Linked DNA regions of Mus musculus. The protein of the gene in region 2 purifies or fractionates together with the protein of the main gene of each other region. This does not show direct contact. Links are inferred from orthologs where the notes say so. Each region holds a gene or a part of one and is shown on either strand. Other genes may lie near its edges.

What was found.
Region 1: the proteins of Magea10 (region 2) and Foxj2 purify together in Homo sapiens (affinity purification with mass spectrometry; 3 studies listed by BioGRID and IntAct, counting the BioPlex papers as one, with this or other methods). This does not show direct contact. The link is inferred for Mus musculus from reciprocal best matches to the Homo sapiens genes MAGEA10 and FOXJ2.
Region 3: the proteins of Magea10 (region 2) and Fam216a purify together in Homo sapiens (affinity purification with mass spectrometry; 3 studies listed by BioGRID and IntAct, counting the BioPlex papers as one, with this or other methods). This does not show direct contact. The link is inferred for Mus musculus from reciprocal best matches to the Homo sapiens genes MAGEA10 and FAM216A.

What each region holds. Positions count from the first base shown.
Region 1 is NC_000072.6:122,829,754-122,834,807, reverse strand, and holds part of Foxj2 (forkhead box protein J2), read right to left. Parts: intron 3,432-5,054; exon of another isoform or gene 3,373-3,431; coding exon 3,298-3,372; intron 1,871-3,297; coding exon 1,802-1,870; intron 1,648-1,801; coding exon 1,507-1,647; intron 1,128-1,506; coding exon 932-1,127; intron 1-931.
Region 2 is NC_000086.7:72,383,291-72,388,983, forward strand, and holds the start of Magea10 (melanoma-associated antigen 10), read right to left. Parts: upstream 3,569-5,693; 5' UTR 3,504-3,568; intron 1,979-3,503; exon of another isoform or gene 1,978-1,978; 5' UTR 1,885-1,977; intron 1,140-1,884; 5' UTR 1,051-1,139; intron 154-1,050; 5' UTR 97-153; coding exon 1-96. UniProt on the Homo sapiens protein: Not known, though may play a role in embryonal development and tumor transformation or aspects of tumor progression.
Region 3 is NC_000071.6:122,369,064-122,374,822, forward strand, and holds the start of Fam216a (protein FAM216A), read right to left. Parts: upstream 3,280-5,759; 5' UTR 2,885-3,279; coding exon 2,820-2,884; intron 1,511-2,819; coding exon 1,452-1,510; intron 576-1,451; coding exon 454-575; intron 1-453. Other genes in the region: Gpn3 (GPN-loop GTPase 3), read left to right, coding at 3,546-3,593, 4,848-4,956.

The DNA.
Region 1 (5,054 bases), on a different chromosome or scaffold from region 2:
GATGTGACGGAGCACAGCTGTAATTCCAGCAGTCGGCACCAGACAAGGATCATTCAAAGTCATCCTTGGCTACATAGCAAGCGCAAAGCCAGCCTGGGATATCTGTAATTCTCTCTCACCCTAACTAACTAACTAACTAACTAACTGAAAGAGAAAATTAAGTTGTTCTTATTATAAAGCATAAGGATTCTTGGGGAGAGGGTGCCACTACTGTCCCCTAGTGGTCATACTCTGAATGACTCGCTCACAGCTGGGAACTCATTACCCCTGGACTAGAGGTGTAGCCCAGTGGTAGAGCACTCTAACACACACAGCCCCTGGGTCAAATCCCAGGACTGGGGTGGAGGATGTGAGGGAAATCGCTGCCTTTGGATTGTCCTCTGATTCGTTTTCTGAAGATAATACCCTAGTGTGCCTCTGAGTCAGCTGTCTGTACCAAATAGTTTAGTCCTCTGACCAGTTTCATATATTAAAACGAGAAATTGGGAGCTGGCAAGATGGCATGTTCAGGTAAGTGCATCTGCTGCCAAACCCAATGCAAGTTTGTTCCCTGGGACTTGCGCATTGTAACATTTTTTAAAGACTACACACACACACACACACACAGAGAGAGAGAGAGAGAGAGAGAGAGAGGGGGGGGGAGAGAGAGAGAGAGAGAGAGAGAGAGAATGTAATCTCAAAAAAAAACAAAAGACAGAAAATAGGGAGAGAAGAGAACATTACCACTTGACAGTATAAGAAACTTTCAGTCCCAGCAACCAGAAGGGGGAGACATGCAGATCTCTTTACGTTCAAAGCCAGCCTGATCTACCTAGCAAGTTCCAGACCAGCCAAAGCTACAAAGAGGGACCCTGTGTCAAAGAAAAAGAGGAAAGAAAAAAAAAAAAAAAAAAAAACAAGGATGTCCCCGCCTGTCCCACTGCAGACTCACCGTGCTGGGAGGAGGAGGACCGCTCCAGCATGGACTTGTAGAGGTTGCGGAAGGACCAGCTTAGGTCCTGAAAGTTGATCTCTGAGTAGGAGAATTTGAAGTCATGGTTGGTGTTGTAGAGGGGAGGGGCGCCCTCTGTGCTCTCCTGGCCTGGGGCCCCTGCTGCCACTGCTCCACCATCCACAGACCCTGGGCCCTGCAAAGACAGGTAAGAACGGTGACCTAAGCCTTCTAAGCAGCATAACCCACCAGGGTCAGTCAGGTCTGTCCTCTTCACCGTCTCCAGCTGGCCAATGGCACAGCATCACCGGCTCTTCCCGCTCTCATTGGCCATCTTGAACCTGGCTTCTACATCACTCTCCATTTCTTTTCTACAAGCCCTTCCCTAGTGCACCTCCATGCCTCTCTGCACCTCCTTCCTTCTGGCTGGGTTTTCCTCCTTTGCTTTTTCCTTCTTTCCCAATCTATCTGCCTAGCACATGACAAGGTACTCAATATGCAAGTGAACGGCGTGATATCCAAACCCACTGAACCATCCGTCCAATTACCCTATGCTTGTCATCTCAGCTTCCTACCTGGCTGTAGTTGGCCACGGAGGAGGGGCTCTGAAGTGACATCTGAGGAGTCCCCTCGTGAGAGAGTGAGGCTTCTCCACTCCCTGGAACACCTCCCCGGGGGCTTTTGCTGGCTTCCTGCTCTGGGGAGTCTTGGGATAGCTGAGAATTGTGAAAGAAGAGAAAAGCTGTATGCAGGGTGAGGCACCCACCCACGAGCCAGCTTGTGGCTCCACCTTGCTGGTGCTAACCCGCATTTAGTCACAGAAATGACTAAAATCCAAGAAAGAGCTCTCCCAAAGAAGAGAGCACTTACGTCATCATCTGGAGGGTGTCTTCTCTTCCGGGAAATGTCAGGGCAGGTGTCAATTGTCCAATAGGAGCCCTGGAAGGGGAACCCAACCCCACGGGAAAGAGAAGCATTACCTATAAAGTTCCTGTTGGAAAGAGCCTCTAATAGCAGTCATGCTGAAAATGGGGTGGGGCTCGGGAATGTAGCTCAGTGGCAGAGTGTTTGCCTAGCATGGTGTTGGATTCCCCAAGACAGAATAGAAGAGAGGAGGAAGGAAGGAAGATCAAGCAAGAGAAAAGAGAAAAAGGAAAGGGAAGGAGGGGAGAGAGAAGACGCCAGGCTAGACCTCCTGACGGAATCCCAAGGGAGCTGAGTGCTAGCGAGGAGTAAATCTGCCCTCGGAGGTCACAGAGCAGTCCAAACACTAGCTTCAAACGTTCCAAAGGGGCAGAAGACTAATGTCAGAGACTATGTCAGAGAGCTGAGAAAGGCCAGAAAACCTGGTCCCTTCCCCTACGACCTGAGGCAAAAGTGCCTTAAGCGTTAGCATCTGTCAAATGGGAAGAACCTCTCCCTTCTCCCGTTAAGGTCAGGCCTGAGACCACACAGAAAAGCTTCCGAAAGGTTAGCGAGCAAACTGGCGATGTTGGTACACACCAGTAATCCAGCACTCAGGAGGGACTAAGGCAGGAGAATGACAAGTCTGAGGCCAGTCTGGGCTACACAGTAAAACCTGTCTCAAAAACAAAACAAAACAAAACTAACTAAGCCAACATTTTACATGTAGAAACAAGTGCTTCTCAAAAGAAAGGGGGTCCCGCCAGCCTGGGCTACAGAGTGTGAGACTCTATCTTTAAAAAATTAAAAGGCTGGGCATAAGGACATGCCTTTGCTATTTGTTTAGTTTTGTTTTTTTTTTTAATTTTTTGAGACAGAGTCTCTCTCTAAGGCCCTGGCTATCCTGGAACTCTTTATGAAGACCACACTGGCCTCATAGTCACACAAATCCACTTGTCTCTGCCTCCTGAGTGCTGGGATTAAAGATGTGTAATACCACACCTATACTGATGTATGTCTTTAATCCCACCACTTGAATCTATGAGTTGGGGTTAGCCTGGTCTACATATAAAGTTCCAGGTCAGCCAGGTCTACATAGTGAGAAGAAAGAAAGAAAGAAAGAAAGAAAGAAAGAAAGAAAGAAAGAAAGAGAGGGAGGGAGGGAGGGAGGGAGGGAGGGAGGGAGGGAGGGAGGGAGGGAGGGAGGGAGGGAGAGAGAGAAAGAATCTCAAAGACAACTCCATCATAAACATTCCTATTAAAACAAAAAGATTTCATAGTCTTCCTTAGTCTCCCACTCTAGGAAAGACCCAGCAGCTTGGCAGCCATGCTCTTCCTCTGAGGAAAACACAACGATGCTTCTAAAGCTAACATGGTTTCCTCCCTGGTCATCAGCACAGCCACCGGACTCTGAGTGTCACCTCTCCTTCCTCCTCCCTTTGATTCCTGCAGCAGCGACTCACCTTCCCAGGGTCATCCCGAGGTCTGGGCACCTTCCGGAAACACTTGTTAAGGGAAAGGTTGTGTCGAATGGAATTCTGGGGAAACAAAGAAGCAAGTTAGGTCTGAGCATTGGGTATGCCCCAGTGTTCCCCAAAGGGACACAGAAGAACATAGTTCCAGGGCCCATTGCAGCACCTCAGCCTGTACTGCGGGAGGGAGGGCTGCACAGAGAGCAGAGGGGTGAGGGGAGAAAACCACCGAAGTCAGAGGTGACGGTGACCAGGTGATCGTGAAAAGTTAACTTTACAGCTTTCAGCCTTCCTGCCAAATTGACAACGCATATATAAATGCCTCAAGCCAGAAGGAGCTCTGAATTTGAGGTTAGCCTGATAATAGCAAGTTCCAGGATAGCCAGAGTCACATGGTAAAACCCTGTCTCAAAAAATAAACAATAACAGCAATAAAAATAGCCAGACATGGTACCCCACACCTGTAGGCTCAGCACTTAGGAAACAGAAACAGGAGAGTGGCCACAAGTTGGAAGCCCCCCTGGTCTATATCACAGTGAGTTCAAGGGCAGCCAGTACTGCATAAAAAGACCATTTCTCTAAATAAGCTGTGTGTAGTGCATGCCTTTAATAATCCCAGCTCCCAGGAAGAAGAGGCCAGTGAATCTCTGTGAGTTTGAGTTGAGGCCATTCTGTTTTACACAGTGAGTCAGGACAACCAGAGCTACATGGTGAGATTGGGTACAGTGGGGGAAGGCTGCTGATGAGCTCATGAGATGATTCAGGGGTGCATAGTGCTTGCCGCACAAGCCTGGGGTACCTGAGCTCAACCCCTGAAACCCACATAGATGGAAGGGAAAGAATCAACCCTATGGAGTTATCACTTCACCTCCACATGCACATTGTGGTGCACACACACACACAAACACACCAGGCATACATACACACAATAACCATAATGAATTTTAAGTAGGAGCTAGGGAGATGGTTCAGTGGATAGAGTTTGACACCGATCGTGAGATGTAGCTGACCACACCTGTAATCCCAGAGTTTTTAGGATTAGATATGAGGTAGGCATAAGAATCCCTGGAAGATCACCCTAGCCAGTCTGGCCCCGCCTCAAACCTGCTAGAAGACGAACAGCATACCCTAGGCTGACCTCTTAACTTCCACAGCCACATGTGGTATGTATGCACTCACGCTTGCACACACATCCTAAACATGCATATCAACAAAAGCAGAAGAGCAGTATTTTACACTGTTTACATACATTAAACAAGGCAAAAACTCATGCGTATTCTACAGCGAGACAGCTCACTGAGCGTGAAGAATAAGTTAAACCTCCGGCACCTACATAAAGGCATGGTCCGTCATGCCAGTGTTAAGCACAGGGAACTCTGCTGTTGTCCTACAGCAAATGGGCGGCAGACACAAGACAGTGCCCAGAAGCTCACAGGCCAACGGGCCTGCTATATATACACAGTAGTTAACAACATTAGAGACCCTGTCTCAAACAAGGTAGAAAGCAAAGACCTACACCCGAAGTTGTCTGTCTTCTGACCACCACACGGGCTTGGGGCACACAACCTTATGGCATTCTTCCACCCTCACTAACAGGCAAGACACGTAAATGAATACAACAAAGGCTAAAACAAAAGAAACCTCAGGAGTGAAACAAAAGCACAGACAACCTTCATTTTCTCAGTAACACTCAGAACGACATCTGGGGAAAGGGAAAGCCGCAGTGCGCATGTGTCAGTGCGCAGAGA
Region 2 (5,693 bases):
GGATGAGGAGGAATCTTCTTCCATTGTAACTGCAACACTTTGGGCCTCAGGCTGTCCCTCAACCATACATCTCCTACGCTTCCGGGGTCTAGGCATGATGATAAGTCTAGTCTTGAACACCAGGCAGGAGCTTGAAGATATAGACCCAGAGACCTAGGGGGAAAAGGGGACAGTAGAAGTATTTATTCATTGTTGACAGTTACTCCACTGGAAAGGCTCACAAAATGCCAATCTTTCTATTATGTGTATTCTAAAGCAACAAGCAGTCCTATCTCCCTGTCAGGTCTGTCTCTTGAGAGACAGAGGGGAGTAGTGACAAGTTTCCTCATACTGAAACTGGGGCAGAGTAGAGGCTTCAGGGTTGCCAGAAGTGTGCATGAGGCTAAGCAAAGAGTTTTGGGGTACATGTGACATATTTGTGGTTGCACCTCAGCTTTACTCTAGACCTTGCCTGGGCTTCCCCCGATGAAATCACCTCAGATAAAGATCCTTACCTAGCTCTTGTAAGAGAGGATGAGGCATCCCACAATCATAGACTGCAACGCTAATACTGGATCCCCATTCTATATAGGAGCTTGAACTGCACTGTGAAGAGTTAGACAACTCTCAAATTCCCTGTGTGTTCACTGTGGGTCCTCCCTTGTCTCCTGTCAGGGCCTGGACTCCATCTCATCTACTGGCCTAAAACAAACTCCTGGACCCCAACCTTCTGCTGTCCTAAGGCAAATCCCTGAAACAAACTGCCTCCTCTCTGAAAAGGCAGTGAAGGTGCCTCCATCTTGCAACTATTCAAGGCAACTGCAAAAGGTGTTCTAGTTAACTGTGGGGAACTGCCCAACTTTTAGCTTTATGGCTCTGCTTCCTGTGATGAGTTGAGACTACATGTCTTACGCAAAGGCCCACTCCACTGAGACAGAGGAAAGAGAAAGGGAGGGGACAAGAGGGAGAGTAGGGATATGCCTCTCTTTCATAGGGTTCCCTCAGCTGGCAGGAGAGTAGTTGGGCGCTGGACCCCATCTGTATAGGTGACTTGACTTACTCAGTTCTTACCTTGAGTCCTGGCCGACTTGAGAGCCTCCCTTGATGACTTCAGTCAGGGTTCCTTTAACCAGGGTTTTTAGATCTCTGAGACCAATGTCCTAGAACCAAGAAAAGAGATCTGACAATCCTGCCCTGGAACATGGGAGTCACAGGAGATAAGCTTCTGTGGGTCCTCTGTCTGTGCTCTGAGCTGGAGTTACTTTCAACATCCCCTGGGGTTCCCACCTACTCTGATGATAGATCATGGAACCACTGCAAATAACCAAGGTCACACACTCAGAACAAGTCCCTCAACACCAAGAGATCATGAAAATAATCAGAATGTTTGAACTGGTGGTCCCATTGCTTCTATGTTGAGTGGGATCCCTAGAGATGCATGCATGGCCCAGACCATGTTGTGTCCATTTAATGCAGCATCTCTATCTGATCTGTCCTTCCCAACAGGCTCACTTTATACTAGTTCTCCTCTTCCCAGCTATGTCCCTCTTTCCCACCTGAATTAGTTTAAGTAAGCTGGTCATTCAGCTTCCCCAAGAGCTGGTCCCAGGACACAGGCAGACAGCACAGTCCCTTCTTTCTGGCTGCAGAAACATGCAGTCATCACAAGAGGCCCATGCCTGGGGTCTGGCTCGTCTGGGGCTCTCCTCTTTATTTGACATCTGAAGACCTTACTACCAAGGTCTTCACATCCCTCAGACCCCCTTTCCTTAGTCCAGAGGCAGAAAGGAAATGCAGCCACAACAACCACACTTCCAGGGCATCCTACGCAGGAGAACAAGGGCAGACCATGTATGGAGGATGATGTATACTTTCAGATGTTCAGTTCTTACCATGTCTACTCACCTTGATTGCCGGCAGATACTATACACCTACTCTGGTAACCAGGTGTGGCTCTCTCTGCTTCTCTGGTAATCCCATTTACTCAGTCTCAACTTCCTGAAAGACACAGAAGTTAAGAAGGACATCTGAACACTCTTGGAGTGTTTCTCAAGACTGGTGGAAGAATCAGGAGTCCATTCTTGTCTTAGGGATTCTGAAGGATTTCCTATTTACTTCTAACAAGGTACCTGCTGACCCTCACATCTATCATTCAGGCCCAGGTCACCCTTGCTCCCCACCTTACACCCAAACATAATTCATAGTCTTCCCCAGATTAGTGTGAACACACAACAGAGGCAGCTTTTATATGGATAGTATCAGGGGTCTCCTTGTTCGTCCTTCAGGGATCTGGTGCCTGCCTTACCTCTACAGATCTGAGGCCTTTACCTCAGAACAAGGCCTGATCCTCCCTCATACCTTACAGGTTGAAGCAAAGGTGCACTACATCAGGTTACTTTGCCCATAGCTGAAGAGAATGTGGAAGCCTAAGATCTGAAGTGCAAGGGACTCATTTCTAAAAGTGGACCTCACTGGGTGCCAGAATGTGTTGAGTACCCTCTACGCAGAAAATGTCTCAAAAGTACACCTTCATCAATTTTAATGGTTGTCTCTCCTCCAGGAACTTTACAAGCATCTTTAAGTCCCCAAGTCCCCAGATGAGGAAGTAGAAGTGTGGAAAGTGCCTCATGCTCTGTGCCTACATGATATCAAAGGGGTTAAATTGCGTTGACTGGAGAGCCTGTCACCAGAATGTAAACATTACTTGCTTACAAAGCATAAAAGCTTTTTCATGGCCATCTCTTCTCTAGGAACTTTACAAAAAGGGTCCAGATCCTCACAGCCACAGATATGGATATGGAAGAGTAGTGTGGCAGGGCTTACTCTTGTAAGTCAGAACCTGGACCATCTTCAAAGCTCCAGGACCTTACAAAAATGACTTCAAGGACTCCAGGTATCTGGTGGTGGCTGTTAAAGGAGAGGGAACTTATTTCTGTACTTCAGCCAGGTTTTTAGGACTATATAGAGGACATGGTTTGGTATACTATCCCTGCCTTTCGATCTAGGGTGGGACTTCTGCAACTCTCTACCTAGTTCCCACCATGACTGAAAGACATTGGTGCTCCTCCTCTACCTGAAACTCCTAAATGGCTCCTAGGTGCTGAGTTCTGTGAGAGGAGCACTTCTAGTGGATCCCAACTGAAGCGTCTGCATTCCACTTAAAATTTCCAAATACACTCTGAAAAGAACATTGCCATCTGTGTTAAAGACCTCTAAACATCATTTTTCCATATGTGACAGACTTGGCAGAGGACTCAAAAATACCATTGGCCCACTATTTAAAACACTGCTCACCACAGGAGTGCAGCTAACAATTTGAAGTTCCCTGTGCTAGGTGTGCCGCTTCCCCAGGCCACTCTCCGGTCCAGTGGGACGTTACCCTCGAAGAGTAGGATTCTTATGGGAACCTCCAAGTGGCCCCACTTGGTGCCAGTCTAACAAAATGGGTTAAACTGCATTATGTGGACACTATCCATCCTGAAAGGGGTCTTTTCCACCCACCTCACCTCAGCAGAAGCACTCACCTCAACACCGAAAGTGTGGCGAGACCGCCTCCAGCATCCTCACAAAATGGCGCTGAATCCTCAATGTCCCAGAATGCAAGAGGGTTGGGGAGGGGCACTTTTCCACAAGTCAGCACTGAGGCAGCTTCTGGGTTCCGTAAATCTCACAAAATGGCTCTGAATCCTCAATGTCCCAGGATGCAAGAGGGTTGGGGAGGGGCTCTTTTCCGCAAGTCAGCACTGAGGCAGCTTCTGGGCTTCATGAATCTCACAAAATGACTCTAAAACTCCCAGGAACCCAGATATCAAAGCTTGGGGAGAGGCTCATTCCCACATGGTGGCCTAGAGTTTATGCTTGACCTCCAAAAGGATACAATGTATCATAGACCCGTGTATCTGAGAGTCACACTCTCAGCTCCGATCTGGATCAGAAAGTCACACGGTCCACTCCTCTCTGGCAACCTCTGAAATTGTTCTTATGACAGTTTGCACCTAGAGGGAGGAGAAGGGGCTTATTTGCGTAAGTGACCCCTATTTGGTGCAGTCTAGCAGAGGTATATGATGTTGTGTCTTTATAATCAGCTCCCACAGCCCATACTCTCAGGTCTTACTTTCTCCTCCACGAACAATACTCCTTTCTTCCCTTCTGGGAATGTGTAAAAATAGCACCCCAAGAATGGAGGAACTAACAATTAGGGCACACCACCTTATGCCAGGTTATCCTGATGGATAAAATTACATTGCTTGGAGACCCTCTGATCTTGAAGGTTGCCTTTACAGTCCACCCTAAGCTCTCACTCAACTTCAAAACTACAGCATAACTGTCTCACATACAGGATACTCAGAGAATTCATTGAGTCCACCAAGTCCTCTGATGAGAATGCAAACCCTGGGAAAGAACTCATTTTCACAAGTCAGTCTGGATTTTGTTCAGGACCCTCAAAAGGATACTGTTGCAACATGGTCCAGGAATGGAGTTATAAGGTGAGAATTCTGAGCTCTTTCTGAGCTCCCATGTCTGTTTGCAAATGAATACTATGTGTCCTCAGTGCATCCATTTAATGCATTCTATTCTGTGGCCCATGCTAATCCAATCAGAGTGTACTCTGCACATTTCCAGGCATGTCTTGGGGTTTTCAGTGCAAATGTTGTCTTCCTATCCAGATGTAAGACATAGAAAGGAGACCCAGAGCAGGTATTACAGTGTTGTTTCGTCACAGATATTTTAATCTACTAATTGTTCCTTAATAAAATGACTTCCTCACCAAACACTTGGAATTCATTTCAAAAACTTGGTAAGGATTCTTCTTCCTTTCAATCATTCAAGTAGGAGCTAAACAAGTTCTAGAAAAGTAGTTTAGTGACCATCCTTCACAATATAGCTAGAAACCTCTCTCACCACACCAAACAATAGTATTCTGTTTTCTTCACCAACAGGCCACAGTAACTCTCTAAAATTGTTTCATTTGTTGCATGTTAAGCTTCACTATCAAAAGCAAACTATTCTTTTCATCACTAGAGGAATGTTTTGGGTCATTTGACAATTGATCTTTGTCAGTATAGGAGACTAAGAAAGGATGACAAATATACTAAGCAGAGAAACCACAACTCTAGACTCTCAATCCCCTGCCAACCTGACCTGAGCCTGAGTTCCAGAAAACCCTCCAATTCTGAGAGAAGATACAATTAGATCACTAACTGGGGGCTGTGGTAGAGGACTATTTTGCTCATGCACCCATCTTCTCATCTTCTTGAAGATTCCTGGAAGCAGATATTTTCTAATATCATTGGAAATAACTTTCCGTCTATGAACAAGTTAGTGACGTTTACCTGTCCAATCCTGGGGATTATGTATGCAGATTTTGTTACAGCACTAGATTCAGGCCCAATTTACATACAGATTCATTTTTATCTGGTCTTTCCTTTCCCTAAGTCCAGAAACATCATTTAAAACAAATGTAAGGTAATGTCTATCTTTGGTGGAAGGTGGGGGGAATTGTGTGGGAGAGGTGGTGAGGAGGGGAATAGGAATGGGGATCAGGTGTAGGGAGGGGGTGTGGGAGAGGGCTGAGAGTGATAACAGTAATCAATGGGGAGTGTTCTGGGACTTGCTAGAGACCTGGGACAAGGGGGATTCAGGGAATCTATGGGGGTGTGTACTGGCCGGTTTTATGTGTCAACTTGACACAGGCTGAAGTTGTCACAGAGAAA
Region 3 (5,759 bases), on a different chromosome or scaffold from region 2:
ATGTGGGGATGTGCACAAGTACAGATGCCCAGAGTCAAGAAAAGGGTGTCCAAAGCTAGAAGAAAAAGAAGTGGACAGGCTCCACAGTGTTACACCACCACAGCTCTGCAAGGGGCTCCCTTCATGGACTCACTGACAGAATGTCACGTATGCCATGAAGACTACAGAGCCTTAATTCTATCTACATAGTTTATCTTCAGACACAAGTTCTGGACCCAGAGCTTGGTCGCTGAGCTTGCTTCGGATGCTGAGACCCTGGACCTGATATCAGGCATCCTTCAGAAACATTTCAGGGGCTGGCAACATGGCTCAGCAAGCAAAGCACTTGCTGCCAAGACTGACAGCCTGAGTTTGACCTCTAGGATACACAGGGTAGAAGGAGAGAACTGGTTCTCACAAGCTTCCCGCTGACCTCCACACACACCATAGTCAAAATTTAAAATTCTGCCTTACCTTTAGAAAAGATGCATCTGTCATTGATTTAGGGATATGAATTGTTTGGATTTGAGTAGTTTTCCATAACTCCTGCAGTTTGGCAATGTGTGCGTACACTCTGTGTCCCTCCTTGATTCTGTCTGTAGGCAAAGACATTAATTATATGACTTTCTGAGACAAAGATTATTAGTAATACATATTTATGACTACCAGTGATTATCCTGAAGCAGCTATAGTATTTTAAGTCAGAGTTACATTTTGAGAGAATATAGAGTATGCCCTTTATTTTAAAGTGCAGCACAAACATCTGGAATCAACACCAAATGATACTCGGGATCCCTCATCAGCAGTTCAGTGCAATAAAGATGAGCTGCAGGCCTGACAAGATGGGAAAGGATGTGCCCAGCATGTCTGGCAATCTGACCTCAGTCCCTGGACTGTCAAACGGAATGAGAGAAGTGACCCACAGAATTGTCCTCTGGCATCCCCTGCACAAACACCCATGTCACCAAGGCCAGCACACCCGACCTCCCCTTAACCCTTAGCCTGCAAAGTTACTAAGAGGCCCTTAGAGGCTTTCTTTTCCTCTCTCTCTTAACTTGATCAGCAAAGTGGTATTTTGAAAGTGCTTCCTGTGAAATAGCTTATGGTTTCCGAAGCTGTTCATGCAGGATTCTCCCCAATAGTGCATGTGTAAACAACAGGTGTAAAGCCCTGCACTTTCCAACCGTTGCTAATTCTAAACATATTTCTTTTACAATTCACTGGTACTTTAAAAAAAATCATTATATATTAACAAAAGGTAAAGAGCTCATCTTTGAAACTCTTAAAAGAGTACAACTCAAAAGGAGAGTCCTCGCCTACCCGGTGGGTTCTGGGGGAACTGAACTCAGGTCGTCCAGCTTGACCACAAGTGTCCTTAGCTGCTGTGCCATTTTGCCGATTGGTAACACTGCACTGTGTACTTAGTTACAGGGAACCTGGGTTCTCTCAAATCTGTAATCCACATGCATTACCTGCTTTATGCTGCTCGCCAGTGCCCTTGGAATTCTGGGGATAAGAATGTCCAGCTGATCTGTTAGCAAAGAACACGCATAATGTAATCTGGCAGCCTCATAGCCACTGAGGACTGAATGTTTTGGGTTTTTTTTTTTCAAGACAGGGTTTCCCTGTGTAGCCCTGGCTGTCCTGGAACTCACTCTGTAGACCAGGCTGGCCTCGAACTCAGAAATACGCCTGCCTCTGCCTCCAGAGTGCTGGGATTAAAGACGTGCGGCACCACTCCCAGCTGGACTGGATGTCTGAAAACAGAGACAGCTGCACACGCTCTTGACTTTTTCCTGTTTCCATCAATGTCTTACCAAGTTTCTCCTCTAGATTGGCTACAAAAAAGAATACAGCTTTTTCTAAGTGAGTGGTCAGATTTTTAGCATACTAGGATGAACGTGTGAGTGTGTGTATGTTACTGGGAGATAGAACTCAGGGCTAACCAACACTATACAAGTGCTCTACTACCACCAAGCTGGATCCCTAGTCTAATATTTACTTTACCAGAAAGGACTTAGGTAAATCTGGTCTCATAGCGTCCTAGTCTAATTCTACAGTGAGATCAAGCCTGTAGTTTGCTTGGTTCCTGTACTTAGCCACATGATATCTTTCTTGTTCTTTAATAGAAGTAATTTCTGTCCTGGAAAGAACAATTACGTTGTGCTGGAACTAGTACGCTGGTTTGTTAATTGTTTCCAATCATGGATCTGGTCTTTTTACTTTTTTCAAAAAATGAAATTGATTCCTGTAGCCGGGTAGTGGTGGCACACGCCTTTAATCCCAGCACTCGGGAGGCAGAGGCAGGTGGATTTCTGAGTTCAGGCCAGCCTGGTCTACAGTGAGTTCCAGGACAGCCAGGGCTACACAGAGAAACCCTGTCTCGGGGAAAAAAAAAAAAAAGTCTTAGCACCAAATATATATTTACAATAAAATGTACATTTAATAATAATGTACTTAATAAACATAAATATATTTTTATTTCATGGCCACGGATTCAGATTCTACAAGAGCCATGATTGTGGGCCTAGTTGGATCCCAGTCATCCCGCCTCTTGATTTTTTTAAGGAAGGAGGCCAGGAGGGGGACAGGGAAGCATGGCATCCAGCTGTGATATCAGAAGTCAACTGTCCTCAGCCATCTAGGGGACAGTTAAAACCTTCCCAGGCCCGAGGCGGCTGGACCCTCGGCTCCCCGCCAGGTTAGGAGCCCGAAAGCTCAGTCTCTGTCCTGCTCCGAGGCCGCCTCGGCAGCCGAGCCCCGCTAGAGCCCGCTCCCCCCCCCCCCCCCCCCCCCCCCGTCTCGCGCCTCCTCGGCAGGGGTTCCCAAGGCCGCCTCACCCTTCACCGCCTTCCGTCCGGGCCAAGGCGGGCGGCCCCGCGACCCCGGGCCAACGGCTCGGCATCCCGTCCACACGCGTGCACCACACCGGCTCTGAGTCGGCGGCCTCCGGCTCTCCCCACTCCGACCCTGCTCAAGTGGCCGCCGGATGGTGCGGAGGAAGACCCGAGTTCCTGGAGCTGTAGACCCGAGGGCGGAGGAACCTCAGGTAACCAGGCTCCTGCGCCTGGGCATCTCTCGCTGACAAGGACGCGTCAGGGCAAATCCATCCACACGCACCCTAAAGCAAGTATTCCTTATCCACCTCAGTATTCTAGACCCTCAGAGGACCTGCAGACCTTCGGTTGTCACCCTATGTGTCAAACCCAAGCACCGGTGCTGCGGCCCGGGGGCGCGGAGCGTAATTCGCGATCCGCTATCACCTAGGCAACCGCCTTCGCCGGAGGCCCAACCGATAACGGCTCTCGGCTCTTTCTCTTTCTCTCTCTGCGCACGCGTGAACGAACTCGTGTCCCCGCCTCCTCTCTGAGCACGGCACGCGTTTCGGAAGGCATTTTGGCCCTGGGGACGCTCCGTAGTCTATGGTGTAGTAAATACCCGTGCTGAACGAGCGATCTGTGGTTGCGATTGGCTCCTACGCACATTCCCCGGAACGCCGTGGCTGTCGCGCGAAGGCTGAAGGGAGTGTGGCCGTCGGCTGTGTGTGAAACCCCCGGAGAGGCGGCATGCCTCGATATGCGCAGCTCGTCATGGGCCCCGCGGGCAGCGGGAAGGTGAGCCTGGAGGAGCTGCGGTGCGTGGGTGGCTGGGCTCCGGGGAAACCCTGGGTATACGGCTTCCTGCTCTCTGCTTGTACCTTGCTTTTTTTTTTTTTTTTGTTTGTCTGGGAGTGATAGCAGCTTTAATAGCTCTTGAGCGGCTTGAGAGAGGGCTGAGCGCTCAAGAGCTTGTTCTGTCCTCCCAAAAGACTTCAGTTCTGTCCAGCACCCAGACAGAGCTGCAGGACACCTTTGCTCCAGGAACTGCCCTGGTCGTTCCAGGTGTCTTCATATCCATTCTGTGTGCTTGATCCTATACCCATTCTACAGATTACAAACACAGAAAGGTTTATTTTGTTCAAAATCATACGCTTACTTAGGTCCGCCCCGGAATCTGAGTCTGGGTTGTTGGTCTTTTTGTTTTTTTGGTTTTTTTTCCCCTGTCTAATTCCAGACAAGGCCCCCTGCCACGCACCCAGTATGGGGTCTTTTCTTCCCTTTTTCTCAGAAGTTTGGAGTATGGGTTTCAGATAAGTTTGTAGATATGCACTGTTTGTGGGCATTTTTTTCTTTTTCCTTTGAGACAGGGTTTTTCTGTGTAGCCCTGGCTGTCCTGGAACTCACTCTGTAGACCAGGCTGGCCTTGAACTCAGAAATCCGCCTGCCTCAGCCTCCCACGTGCTGGGATTAAAGGCGTCTGCCACCACTGCCTGGCTCTAGTTTTTATATTTATTTTTTTTGTGTGATACAGTGTTTCTTTGTGTACATATTAAGAGAATGATGCTAAGGACACTTAAGCACAGTAGAAACGGCAATGGTGACATTTGAGGGATGCCTAGAGTCTATAGAGGTGTTTGTATCATTTTAATATTTAATAAATACAATATTCAGAGTACTAGAGATGGCTGTGTGACTCCACAGGGCCTGTCATCTGATCTGGAAGGTACACAGCTCACCTGTCAGTTACAGTGCATCTGTATGGTGGGGCTGTCCTAGGTAGAGAGAACAGGCTGTCAAAAGGAAGCGTGGAGCGTGGAGGAGGTCATTTCTGTAACCTACGTTAATTTGTAGACTGTGTTAAAGAAACATCCTGAGCCCACGCCCTGCATCTAGATCTGCAGCTCTGGTCTCATCGCCTTCCCAGGGTTTCCCTGGAGGTGCAGTTTGGCTTGGGTGGACACTGGCTCAGAGAGGGGAGAATTGTCTGGGCATGTGGAGGGCGGTACGCTACTGCCTTGGGTGCTAACCCCCCACCTTGTCACGTTACAGAGCACCTACTGTTCCACCATGGTTCAGCACTGTGAAGCCCTCAACCGATCTGTCCAGGTGGTCAACCTGGACCCGGCGGCAGAACACTTCAACTACCCTGTCATGGCCGGTAAGTCCCGGCAGGGCCACCTTCTTCAGGCACCGTAAAGCTCAGAAGGCACTGGAAGCCGGCTGCTCAGTTATTCACGTGCTCAGCCCCGGGGTGAGGAGGAGCAAGATGAGGCCACGGGCCATTTCATGGTGGTGTTTGTGGGTGTGGATGCCATGGCCTCCTTTTCTGGTCTTTGCTGGGAGACTCTAAGGTGAGCGGGCTCCTGCCTCCCTGCCTTTCCCTCTGGTCCCCTTGTTGCTTACTCTGGTGAGTTGGGGGTAAGATGGTTTGTCCACAGTAAATAGCACCTGTGCTGGCTTAAAAAAGGTGAGGCTCAGCCGGGCATGGTGGCACACGCCTTTAATCCCAGCACTTGGGAGGCAGAGGCAGGTGGATTTCTGAGTTCAAGGCCAGCCTGGTCTACAAAGTGAGTTCCAGGAAAGCCAGAGCTACACAGAGAAACCCTGTCTCGAAAAACCAGAAAATAAAAAAAATTTAAAAAGGTGAGGCTCAGGGCTGGGCTGGGGCTTGGTGGTGGAGTGCTTGCCTAGGGTATGTGAAGCCCTGGGTTTTACCCTCAGCACCACATAAAACCAAGTGAGGTAGTACACATTTGTCACCTCTGCTCAGTGAAACAAAACAAAGCTTTTTTTGTTTTTTAATTAAAAATAGTAATCCTCAAACAGAAGCTGCTCACTGAGATGACGGTGCAAATGTTTGAGCCATCAGCTATATACATACACACATACATACGTACATACATACAGACACACATACATACGTACATACATACAGACACACATACATACGTACATACATAC